Drosophila melanogaster: one gene and its partner. Changing the gene in region 1 together with any one later gene gives a genetic interaction. Each region holds a gene or a part of one and is shown in the gene's direction. Other genes may lie near its edges.

Evidence for each region.
Region 2: of Sap-r (region 1) and Calx, changing one enhances a phenotype caused by changing the other (phenotypic enhancement), as found in Drosophila melanogaster (one study listed by BioGRID).

What each region holds. Positions count from the first base shown.
Region 1 is NT_033777.3:30,882,900-30,890,734, reverse strand, and holds Sap-r (Saposin-related), read left to right. Parts: upstream 1-1,672; 5' UTR 1,673-1,801; coding exon 1,802-1,850; intron 1,851-1,908; exon of another isoform or gene 1,909-1,995; coding exon 1,996-2,074; intron 2,075-3,830; coding exon 3,831-4,113; intron 4,114-4,187; coding exon 4,188-6,015; intron 6,016-6,084; coding exon 6,085-6,560; intron 6,561-6,617; coding exon 6,618-6,759; intron 6,760-6,817; coding exon 6,818-6,822; 3' UTR 6,823-7,271; downstream 7,272-7,835. Other genes in the region: CG15547 (uncharacterized protein), read left to right, coding at 7,336-7,607, 7,664-7,752, 7,808-7,835.
Region 2 is NT_033777.3:20,976,282-20,981,414, forward strand, and holds the start of Calx (Na/Ca-exchange protein), read left to right. Parts: upstream 1-1,901; 5' UTR 1,902-2,839; intron 2,840-5,133. UniProt on the Drosophila melanogaster protein: Na(+)/Ca(2+) antiporter that couples the energy of a Na(+) electrochemical gradient to the movement of Ca(2+) against an electrochemical gradient across a membrane, which contributes to the regulation of cytoplasmic Ca(2+) levels.

The sequences.
Region 1 (7,835 bases):
CGTGTGAACTGCCGGAAATTTCACTCTTGTGGATGGATGCATTTAATTCTTTCCGAACCTGATTTTTGACCAAGTTAATTGGGAGGGAATAAAAGGCGTACTTTGTACTTTGTCCGACTATAACTTGGCTTGGCTGAATTCAAAGACCCAAACAAGCAGTCGCTTCTAGAGTAAACAAATTTATGAATGACATAAAAAAGCGGATAAAAGCAGAAAATTATCTCGCTCTTGAAACTCCGAAATTAAACGTTAGTCCAATGATTTACTGCTTCACTTATAAGCGTGTTAATTGCCTAAATTTCCTTCACTGCTGAACTTGATTACTTGTTCTTTGGCGGCGGTCCACTCAATTGCCATAATATCAATCTCGCAGCCAGACTTCAAGTGTCAAGTGCAGTGTCTGGCTGCAATTAACCCTCTACTACCCCATGGTACCTCGCCTAAGGTCACATAAACCTTAAATTCAATTCCTATTTAATCGAGTGCAATTTAATATTTCCACAATTTTTGGTTCTAAGTACCAAGTATTTCAGCAAGGTCTCAGTGGGTTAATCTCCGTCAAAGAACCGAAATGCACGGCAGGCGTTGCAATCCACGGTCAACACGACAGGTTTCAGGTTTCCTTCTAAGCCCCTGAACAGCCAAATCGTTGGTTTTGACACAGATATAGCCATGTTATGGCCGTATTGGCCGGATCGGCGCTTGCATTTGGCATTTCGTTGGGCAAACACCACCAGATGACCTCGACTTTCAATCGCTGTGAGAATGTGTCTGGCATTCTTTGCGAATGTATCTTCAGACGATTCTCACACAGATCTTGATACGCACCTCGGAATCGAGAATTACACGCCGATAGGCATCGCGAGAAAAATCTACTAGCCGGCCATTACGAGTGAGATGCATTTTCCCCAACATTTATGCCTGCGAGCTTTACATCTGGGCAGGCTCACATCAATTAACCCGCAATTACAATAGAATTTAATCATGTGCCTGCCAGTTCACGTCGCACAGTTGGCCAAGTTGGCCAAAGGGGGGTTAAGCGATGGGGCTGGGCAAAAAGGGGCGTATTAATAACCGCGCTAAGTTCAAGAACATCGCTGATGGTTATTGTCATAGTTTCGTCGCGGCAATATGTAATTAAATCTGCGGATTGCAATCGATTATAAATACATTGTGAGGCATTTGCGGGTGGCGAAGGCTTTGTTTGTTGATTGAGTGAGTGATTTAATAAATTGTTCCGACTTTAGGAGCAATAATTTTCTTCTACGATAATTGAAGTTATAATTTGAAGGACAACGTATTCAAGTACTCCATGTACTTAACACCCTATAGAAAGGTGGCCCAAATCTAATAGTTTCATATCGGTTACTTAATTGTTTATTATACCATTTTAAGTTTAATGATTTGCTGACCCCATTTTATGATAGCTTCCTCGGAGGTTTTTATGGCTTTTTGAAAGGCAAAAACAGATCTCTGTTATTAACAGAGTGCGGTTCGAGTCCATGCTCCCCCCTGATTGCTAAGTATACACTGGGTTGGTTTTATGCTAAAAGCATTATCCAAGTCTTGCTCCATAAGTATCGTTAAATAAATTTAACAATAATTCAATCGCTGACTGGTCGCACTATTATATCGCTACGGTATATATTTGACGAAACAGACGGCGGCCACACTACAGACAAATAAAAAATTGAACCAATCGTTGCAATTGCACTTCAGTTTTCGTTCAGAAATAAATACGTAGCTGCAAATAGAGGACTATCTCCGCCGACATTTAAGAAGTACAGTTAAAACCGGGAAAATGGAGAGAGCAGGCCTCTTGGCCGTTTTGGCACTGTGCTGCGCCTTTGGTGAGTGGAGAAGAGATGGAGAGAAGTGCGAAAAGCGACGTTGAAAGGGAACCACAATAATAGTTTAGTCATAGCTTATTGCGTATTCGTGCTGTGCACTCTGTTCCTCAACCGTTGCTCTCTTTGTTTGTTTGCTTTCTTGCAGGCGTCTTCGCCGCTGCCACGCCCCTTTTGGGCTCCAGCAAGTGCACCTGGGGACCCTCCTACTGGTGCGGAAATTTCAGGTGAGTGCAAAAAAGTGGGTGATACAATAAACGGTATATTCGGATAAATCGCTTGGTCATCGAACACCACAAAGTTCTCGAAGGCGAAAAGCTAACCTCTCTTAACCCCCCTCCAAATAGCGATATTACTTCTCCGCCTCACTTGCCCATTGTTTGCAGCGAAGACTCGTCTGTTCTGTTTTGTTCTCGGCCGATAAGACTATCACTCGAATCGGGAATCGAATCACTTTGCTCTACATAGCTCTATTCGCCGATAACCCCTGTTATTGCAAACTTAACACTAGTGCCGCTCTAATTGCGTCCCCTTATTTTGCGTTGTATTGTTTTACAGACTCGATGTTTTCTCTGAGTGCACTTTTCGCAATACTCTCTGCCTTCATATCCCATATTTCTGGATTTCCTTTGTCTGCACATTCGCTGTACAAATCAAATTAACAGTACCGCCAGTCGGAACATTTAGACGGCAGAGTTAAGCGCTCGTAGGGGGCACAACTTTATCGACACCGATTATATGCATGAGTAATCCAGAGGAGCAGATCGTTTTGACACAGCTCCCTTTTCTGTGCACCGCCAAACAAACCACATGATTGCTTTGTTTATCATTGTTAATTCGCTGTAGGCGGCAACAGTTGTTCCTTATCAACGAATTCTGACTAATCCCTCAGGCGTATGATGAGTACAGGGGAACATCCGAAAGTGCAACTTCTAAGCCTTAACACAATCACAATGCACTTGAAACCCTTATCTTAGCCATACTCACAATTGTAAATTCCTCAATGGAGTGATATTACATTGCGGCCACAAAGGATCACCTTACAGAAGCTATACTGTACGTACATATGTATGTATGTTACACCAAGATAAACTTGAAAACATTTACATGGACTGCATCATTAATAGAGTAAAAGCGATCAATAGGCAACTGAAAACATTTGTTAAGCACCCATCCATCGCTTATCGCTAGTCGTAATTCCTTTGTTTATTGATTGATTTATTTTTAAATGGCCAGGAAAATCCGCCATTTCTGGCTCTTAACCGTTTCTTTGTTTCTCAATTGCAGAGTGTCAAAAATTAAAAACGTCGCCATTGCTGTTGAAAATTCAGAAAACAATATCTGTGAATGCGCAGCCAAGTGAATAATATATACGTGGATACGTCCAGATATATCATTCATACATATGTACTGTTTATTTCCGTGCTTATCAGTGCTGATTTTTTGCTATTTAGACGCTTTTGTTTGGTATTCCTGGCGATTCCACCGCAGGCGTCTCTTCATGTTAATGGAAATTAGCACTTTCCGTTCGAATCAGTCAAATCGATTTATATTGAACAAATATAGGGTTACTTTCCATCAAAGTGTTGTGCTTTAAATGCTATTTGCTTATATGAGATGATATGGGCTTTGATTTAGTCAGCATAAGTTTGATGATTATTAAACCATTTCGTTCCGTCTCGGATGTTCAAAAATCAAAATTATTACCAGTCCAATGCTTCGTTGTATTCATTGAAGACCCAACATTATCATGTGAGCTGTGGGTGCATTCTTAAAGTGGATAGGGGACTACTCCCTTTTTAGTGGACTCTGGTCTTTGCTGACTCGTCGATTCTGGCTTGGCCACTCGATTACGAATGCGGGTCATTTGATCCGAACAGCGGCATTTCGCACAATCAGCTTAGTATCCGACTGCTTACTCTGATGGGTTTATCTTAACAGCAAAAAAAAAGTTTGCTAACTTTATGTCTGCTTCCTTTCCAGCAACTCCAAGGAATGTCGTGCCACCCGCCACTGCATCCAAACCGTTTGGGAAACCCAAAAGGTGCCGGTGGACACGGACTCCATCTGCACGATATGCAAGGACATGGTTACTCAGGCCCGCGACCAGCTGAAGAGCAACCAGACAGAGGAGGAGCTGAAGGAGGTCTTCGAGGGCTCCTGCAAGCTGATTCCGATCAAGCCGATCCAGAAGGAGTGCATCAAGGTGGCCGATGACTTCCTGCCCGAGTTGGTCGAGGCCCTGGCCTCGCAGATGAATCCAGATGTGAGTTTTCACCTCTACAACACATCCTCCTAAACCTTTTATTGATATATAAAATGTTTCCCTTCAATCCTCAGCAAGTTTGCTCTGTGGCCGGACTTTGCAACAGTGCTCGCATCGACGAATTGTATAAGAACGGCATTCAGGCTGGTCTTGATGGAACCGTCCAGAATGAAGATGACAGCTCCGAGGAGACCGAGTTGGCCATGCAGCCTAACCAACTTTCCTGCGGCAACTGCAACCTGCTTTCCCGCCTGATGCACTCGAAATTTGCGGCTACCGATCGCGATGACATGGTGGAAACGATGCTTCATATGTGCGGATCGCTATCTAGTTTCTCAGACGCCTGTGCCAACATTGTGCTCACCTATTTTAATGATATCTACGACCATGTGAGCAAGCACTTGACCACGGATGCCGTGTGCCATGTGTCCGGAGTGTGTGCCTCCAGATATCACCAGCATGAAGAGGAAAAGCAACCGCAAGAAGCCTTAGTTGCCTTGGATGCCGGCGATGATATTCCATGCGAACTATGCGAGCAACTAGTAAAGCACCTTCGCGACGTCTTGGTGGCCAACACCACTGAAACGGAGTTCAAGCAAGTTATGGAAGGATTCTGCAAGCAGTCAAAGGGATTCAAGGACGAGTGCCTTAGCATTGTTGACCAATACTACCATGTGATTTACGAGACTCTGGTCAGCAAGTTAGATGCCAATGGAGCCTGCTGCATGATCGGCATTTGCCAGAAGAACTCCGCCTCCTCGATGAAGGATGTCCCAATCATGCCGCTGCTGCCTGTTATTGAGCCGGCTCAGGTAAAGATCACCATCGAGAAGCTGGAGAAGCACGAGAAGAAGCAACTGGGCGCCAGTGAGCCGAAGTTCAGCCAGCAAGAGATCCTGGACATGCAGCTGCCCATTGATCACCTAATGGGTGCAGCTAATCCCGGAGCTTTGGTCGAGGGTGGAGAGCTGTGCACCCTGTGTGAGTACATGCTGCATTTCATTCAGGAGACTCTGGCTACCCCCTCCACGGATGACGAGATCAAGCACACCGTGGAGAACATCTGCGCCAAACTGCCCTCGGGAGTTGCCGGTCAATGCCGCAACTTCGTGGAGATGTATGGCGATGCTGTGATAGCTCTGCTCGTCCAAGGACTGAATCCTCGTGACGTGTGCCCCCTCATGCAGATGTGCCCGAAGAATCTGCCCAAGAAGGAAGATGTCGAAGTGTTCAATCCCCAGCCAGCCAGCGATGAGCAGGATCCCCCAACTTGCCCTCTGTGCCTCTTTGCCGTTGAGCAGGCCCAGATGAAGATCCGCGACAACAAGTCCAAGGATAATATCAAAAAGGTTCTGAATGGCCTTTGCAGCCATCTGCCCAACGAGATAAAGGAAGAATGCGTAGACTTCGTGAACACCTATTCCAATGAGCTGATCGACATGCTGATCACAGATTTTAAGCCGCAGGAGATCTGCGTCCAACTGAAGCTCTGCCCAAAGACCACTTACGCTCTCTGGGACTTGCGCATCTCGCTGGAGGACGATGTCGATGGTGAGGACAAATCCAGCAGTGAGGAAATCAGCTTCAATGACATTGAGTCCCTTGAGGAGCTGCCCCCTCAGCTGGCCTTCGACCCAGGATTCACCGCTGCTCCGAACTGCCTGATCTGCGAGGAGTTGGTTAAGACCTTGGAGAAGCGTATGGGCAAGCACCCCACCAGAGACAGCATCAAGCATATCCTGGAGGAGTCTTGCGACCGAATGAGGAAGCCAATGAACACTAAATGCCACAAGGTTATCGACAAGTACGGCGATAAGATCGCCGATCTGCTGTTAAAGGAAATGGATCCCAAGCTTATCTGCACGGAGTTGGGAATGTGCATCCTGGCTGATCTGGATGATCGTGAGTATTAAATTCTAGAGCTACGTTAAGTATACGTTTAAACTAATGAATTTCATTTTCGTAATACAGTCGAAGTGGATGAGGCTTTGAAGTACGACGTGATTGCTCTGCCGCGCCAGGACAACAAGCTGTCTAGCAGCATCAAGGAGCCGCCCACCTGCGTCCTTTGCGAATTTATCATGACCAAGTTGGATGCCGATCTAAAGAATAAGACCGAACAGGACGACATTAAGCGAGCGATTGAAGCCGTGTGCAATCGCCTGCCAGCCACGGTGCGCAAACAGTGCGACACCTTCGTCGATGGATATGCCTCTGCGGTCCTGAAATTGCTGAGCGATGTGCCGCCCAAGCAGGTGTGCCAGAAACTGCAGCTCTGCTTCAGCGTGGCCGTCACCGATGAAGTTTTGGAGTGTGGTGTGTGCCATGGAGTCACCCAGGCTCTGTTGCCCTTCCTGCGCGAGAAGAAAGATAACGTATCCGAAGTGACAGCCCTACAGATGACATCGGTGGGATGCGAGAACTTGCCAGCCAAGTACTACAAGATCGTATGTAACTTACAATCCTGAATGTTATAAATATCTATAAGTTCCTTTGCGTTGCAGTGCTCTGAGATGATCTCCATCTATGGCAGTAGCATTAAGAACTTGGCCAAACGACCCTATATTGATCAGTCGCATATTTGCGCCGAGATTGGCAAGTGTTTCGAAAGCGAGAAGTCTTCGCTGGCCTTTGCTAGAATTTCAGGTAAGCTATAGGTTGAAGGACCCAAACAATACATTTACTAATTTACTATCTTCAACAGCCTAAGTGATGCGTTGTGATGTACGAACCAGGCGCGGAGGATTTGAAGGAGAAGGGACCCGATCCCACGCTTTATATATGCATATACCTTTACATATATCTGTTTACATTCTATAACGATTTACTGTAAATGAAACATAATTACTTACTTTTCGTTTTGTACCCCGGTTTTTGGCTCTAAATTTGTTAGGTGAATTTGTGATGAAACTGAATTTATAAACGCACTCAAACGCCGGCTGAAAAAAGTTAAACTTAACTAAACTAACACTTACACTAAGCAGTACCCTTATCGTAATTTCAACATAAAAATTAGCGAAATTCACGAGCCGCAAACTTTGTATCGATATCCCCATGTGTCCGAAGTCATTTGAGCAGTGTGTGTAGTTTAAGATATCAAGCAAAACTGTGTAAAATACGAACATTGATCTTATAAATCATACAGAAAACTTAAACCGACATAGTAGCACATTATTGAAAATTCCCAATTCCCCTTGGAATAGTATATATTTTCTAGCCGACATGTTTGAGAACTCCCTGTTTATCATTAAGCCGGACTATCTGCACAAGCGGCGTCCGGTGCTCTTAAAGTTGCTGGCCGAGGGCTTCCAGATTCAGGGTAATCGACGGATTGCCTTTTCGCCAGAAACTGCCGCCGAGTTCTATGCCGATTATGCCGATGAAAAGGGGTTTATGCTGGAGGTCATTCTGCTTTCGAAGGGTGTTTCCGAGGCGTTCATAGTTACGAAGGAAAACGCCGTGCAGGAGCTGCTCAACATCATGATTTGTTATTTGTGAGTTTGCTTTTAAAATAAAATAATAAGTTCTCTAGGTACAATTTGACTTTAAGTGGTTCGGCATCGGATCTGGAACGCAATATCCATGTCACCAAGAACAGTTACAGCGTGGCTCGTGAGATAAACTTTATTTTTCCCAACTGTAAGTAGCGATACAGAGATTAATAAAGTAAAAAATAATATATCGAATTTTTCAGATATTCACGAGCCCCATCAAATGTTCGA
Region 2 (5,133 bases), 9.9 Mb from region 1:
AAAAAAACGTAAAATGAGACTTAAGTTGATTGCAAATGCAAAGAAACGTAATTTGTAAAAAGTGCTTAGATTTGTGATCTGTCATTTTATTTCGTAAATGTCCTATGATTTCATGATTGCTATTATTCATTCATTGAATTGAGTTGTCGTGCCAAATAATCATACACATCCGAAATAAAAATCGCGACAGTTTTATGCCTACACACCAACTGGAAACGAGGCTATAAACATAAATATATTGCTCATACGCCCCGTGTTCACCCCTGCCGAATGAGTTGGGATCCGTAACGAAAACAAACAGAAAGCGGACGAAAAAAAATGGACGCCAAATACAAGGTAGCAAAAGGTTGTGAGCGCACACACTGGCACACATGTTCCTGTACTGTACTGTACTTACAGCAATGGCGTGCAGCGTTTGCTTCTCTTTCGCTACTTTTGCTGCTTTCGCTGCTGCTGTTTCCATTGCTGCGTTTATATGGCCATAAGGCTAACGCTATTGTCGCGGCAGGTCTCTCAGGGGCAACATGGGGAGGTCGTTGCGACAGCGGCAACATTTGGGTCTTATTAATTTCCGTTTTGCTTATTTATTTTTACGACGCCTCGCACAGCTCGCCATTCGGTTCGCAGTTCTGGGCCCGTCAGCAGCCGAACCGCCGAGCCATCCAGGTCCCCAAATTCTAACGCAGTCGCCATAGTCAAAAGAACATTCGTAAGGAATTCCACCTTTAAAGCCCCGGTGATACCCTACGATTATTTAGAGAGGCATATTACACAACCGTAGATGGGGAGTACTAAAATGTTAATTCATTGCTTAATTCGATTGCCTTAATTTGCTGCTTTAGCTTTGATTTAATACATGAATTATAATAATAGAAGAGAAGAAGATTACTTTAAATTAGGAAAACTGATTTATAATTAGAAAAAAAAAACTACAAAATATTATTATTTAACTTTTTAAGTGAAGTTTTTATGGCGCGGTATTAAAATATGTATAGGTATTAAAATAAAATGCATAAGTGACTTGAAAAAGTTCGTAGGCGTGATGCTGCATAGAGAGCCAAGTAAAAAGGCGCAATCAACTAAATCAAAATTATACAGGGGAAAGCCATTTATCCGGTAAAACACATACCAATTAAGTTATTTTTAAAAGCTGACTTCAATGCGATCAAAAGCTTTCTAGCCAATTTGAGTTGGAATTGGCGATGTACTTCTCAAATTTGGTTTTGAATATAAATAAATATATATATTTAAATAAAATGTATATGTTGAGATCAATACTGTACTTCAACGCGTGAATAATATCATATTTTAAGCTTAAGAAATTATAAAACAATACAATTTTCAGAAATAAAAGATTTGGCCACGTGAACCTTTATTGGGTGTTGAAAATTTATATTTTTTTGCACCCCGATCTGCTAGTAATCACTTTCCCTAACGGTGCTTATTGTTAATAGACTATTTTCCAAGCATAGAGTACAGCAACTTGTTTCCAACCGACTTAACAGGGGCGTCAAAAACTTATGCGCTTGCTTGTCTAAGACAGCGGGTGGTAGAGGAGGGGGTGTGGGTGTGGGCTATACTAACCAGCAATGCCTCTACACCACCCTCCCCGCCAAACCTTTACACCCCCTGCGAAATGCGCCACTGCAACGAGAGGAAGATGGGGAACATCGGAGAGCGACAGCGAGAGAGAGCGGCGCAGTTGTTATCGCCTGGCCAGTGTTCCACTGCCACTCTGTTCCTTATCCTGTGCACTTTCTTCCTTATCTGTCCCGCTTTCACCGCCCTCGCACTCGCCACTCTCACTCTTCGTGTGCATTTCGGGTGCCCTTCGTGTCGCGACAATCGGCATTTTTAAAGAGGCAGTCGGCCAATGTGGCAGTCGGTTACTGGCTCGCAGGTTAGTCTTTCATTATCCGGCGTTTGAGCGTGTAACGTTTTCTCCGTGATTTCCACACGCAGCAGCGGTAAATACAACAACAACGACAACGAAAGAAGCAACCAAAACAATAACAACAACAATAGAAGAGAACAGCGGCAAACGGTTTTTCGCTGCGCTTCTCCTATTTTAAGTGCCGAGCGTTTTACTATTTTTACTACACAGCGAAACATACACAGATACACATATATACAGAAATATATGTAGGTATTTGTTGATGTGTTTGTTGTGCTTCAGTCAACAATAAAAACAAAAACAGTGTTTAAAGCTAGTGAAATGATCTTCCATAAATAAATTTTCAAAATTAATTTGAGAGCAAAAATGAATTGAAAGAAAATGCCAAGAAAGTGCAGCAAAAAATCAACAACGATGCTGTCGGAGAGTCGAAACTAGGCTAAATATCTTTGCATACTTTTGGGAAAGTTGTGCGGTACAAACACACACACCCGTTCGTAACACACACACACAGGACCTGCGCCTGCGGTCGCCGACTTTTGAACCTGTTTTCTGACCATTGACCATTGACCACCGACCGCCGTGCCGGCCGCCTCTTTTCACTTTTGGCAACGCGGACTGCAGCAGCCGCTGCAAAAAATGCAACTGTAAAGGAAGCTGCAAGAAAAGGAAAGGATGTGCACGAAAACGGCATAAACCTACAAAACTAGCCAAAAGAGTTCAGAGCGGTGCGGTTCAACAGCCTCCGGGTGTTCGTGTCAAGCTCGAAATTCGCAAATTCGGCGTCAGCTTCGTGCATCTGTATCTGTGTATCTGTATCTATATCTGGTGCATCTGTGTGCGGCCATTCTGCAGTTGCAGCTCTGCAGCGGCGAAAATTGTGTCAGCAGCATCGGCAGCGGATCCTGCAGCTCGCCACACTGGCGCCTCCATCTCCGATTGCCGGTAATGTATTCGTTTTAGGCGCATTCTACCCAAGCACGACTTAATCATACGCCACATGTGAAGTGCCGTGCGGTATGGCTAAGGCATTACGCATACGCCCCGTGTATGTGAGTATGAATAGTGCGGGCGGTCTTACCTTGACAACGGACGGGGGCAGTCCGTGACAATTGTCAGTTTGTTTTCCCATTTTCGTTTTTCTATCGATTAAGCCCACTGGCCCCTCGTTCGCCCTTTGTCTGCGAATTAGCGACAACTTCTGGGCCAAGCAGCATATGGCTATGTCCACCGTCTTTGTCTAACGCCTAATTGAGTCTTTTGTGAGTATCAAGAGACGAGCAGCACCGCAGAAGAAAAGAAAAGCAAATGGGGAATCCAGTTGACATCGGCATAAGTTCGAGTTTTAAGTTCCCTTGTGGACAGCTGGTTTTTGGGCTTTCTCGACTATCACATACCATAACTGCAATGGACTTTTTTTGGATCATTTTTCAAATTCTGGGCGTTACATATTTTCTTGATCATGATCGACTCGGCTTGTGATCCGGAAATGTATTTACTGTAGAGGATATAACTAACTATAAATAAAGCTGTATGGCATCCTAGCTTTGATTCTTACACGCTGTAAGAAACGAATGTCAGTAAGGGATATAATGTTAACATTCCAAAAGGCACGTCTCCCATATGAACATATAAAGTATATTAAGACTCCCAAGAAAAAGTAAAGAACTTCGCCAGAAAACGTTAGGCTTATGATTTCAGATTTCAGAGCATTAAACCACAAATGATTATTTATATGAAGTATATTTTACTGTCCCGCTTAGATGAAATTTTTCGCTTATACTGTAGACAGTGCCTAAAGTATCATGCCATCTGATAGGGTATCCATAGAAAGGAACCAAAGAAAACAATCAACACGGAGACTAGTAAACAATTGAAAAGCAAAAAACCCGCGACTCCTGCCCAAGTCGGCCAGCCCCTTGAGTTCTTTTTTCATTCATAGGACGATGGGTGGTAGCATTTGCCTTTGTCAATATCATTCAAGCTTTCATTCGCTTCACTTGCCTGACATTTGCTTACCATTTCAGTTTAGAGTTCACTTTGTTTCCCTTTGTACAAATAAATAGCCATTTATTCATTCACTCGGTTAAGGGGCTCCTTTTCACTGACCAATGAATGAAGGAAGGTCGTCCCATAAGTATTTGTCAATTGGACACAAGTTACAATGGAACTCAGTTTGGGGCTTTATATCTAATCAAACTAAATGGCAGCCATTAACTAGCTAGCTTAATCAAGTACCCAACATCAGCATGACTCGAAGCACTCAAAATGCTCGATTTTCTGATTCTGATAAGAGGAATACCTCGGGTAATTTAAAATTGAGTATGCAGCATATTCAGCGAAATGCAGAAAATCCAGATGAAACAAGATTTTGGAAAATTCATTTAATTTATGGCTCCGTCAATTAAAAGCAACAGACCACACAGCCAAACCGCAGTACAGCTCTCAGATGAAAATTCAGCGCTTTAAAGGCTTAGAGAAAAGTGGCAGGCACTCAAAAGCTTAGGCCTTGCATACGTAGCAGCCGCAAACAGTGGCGAAAAATTCTACTTTTTTCCATTTTCGGTGTGTGGGGCGACCAACTTTTCTAACTAACAAAAAAATAAACCGCGCACATGTGTACACAAAAGAAACTCGACGAAGAAAACTGCAAATATGTAACAAGATTCGGTCATGTTTGATTCATGAAACCAGCAGAAAGTTCCAGCCCCTCACCCAATTGAACAACAATGGTGAAATAAAGTTACAGTTGCTGTGGCCACGGCAACTGGAAGCCAACATTTCGCACAATGGCGCAGAATCAGCAGCTTTAGCAGCTGCCGTGCTTCCGGAAAAAATAGAGCCCCAAAAAGCATACTTTCGAGTGTAGAGTTTATGCAGGATTCCGTTGCAGCAGAGTTAATCATACATACGTCCTGACAGTAACAAATCTCCAGCTACGAGGCATAAATAAAAAAAAATTCACCCAGCTTCGCTTTACATATTTTCCTGTTAGATTTACCGTGTATGTGGGCATCAAATTGCGCATACGCCCAGTAAGCCGTCCAGATGGGCAGATCTGCAGGCAATTTGATTATGGCCAGCGAGGCATAAAGAACGTAGAGAAATGCTGAAATAGGGCTTACTTCTAAGCCAGCCAAGTCGAGCATAAAATGCAAGCAGAGTTTGGTGGAAAAAAGGAAACGCAAAGGACTCGATTGCTCAGTTTCTCGGGAACGGCAATTAAATTGCGATGGCGA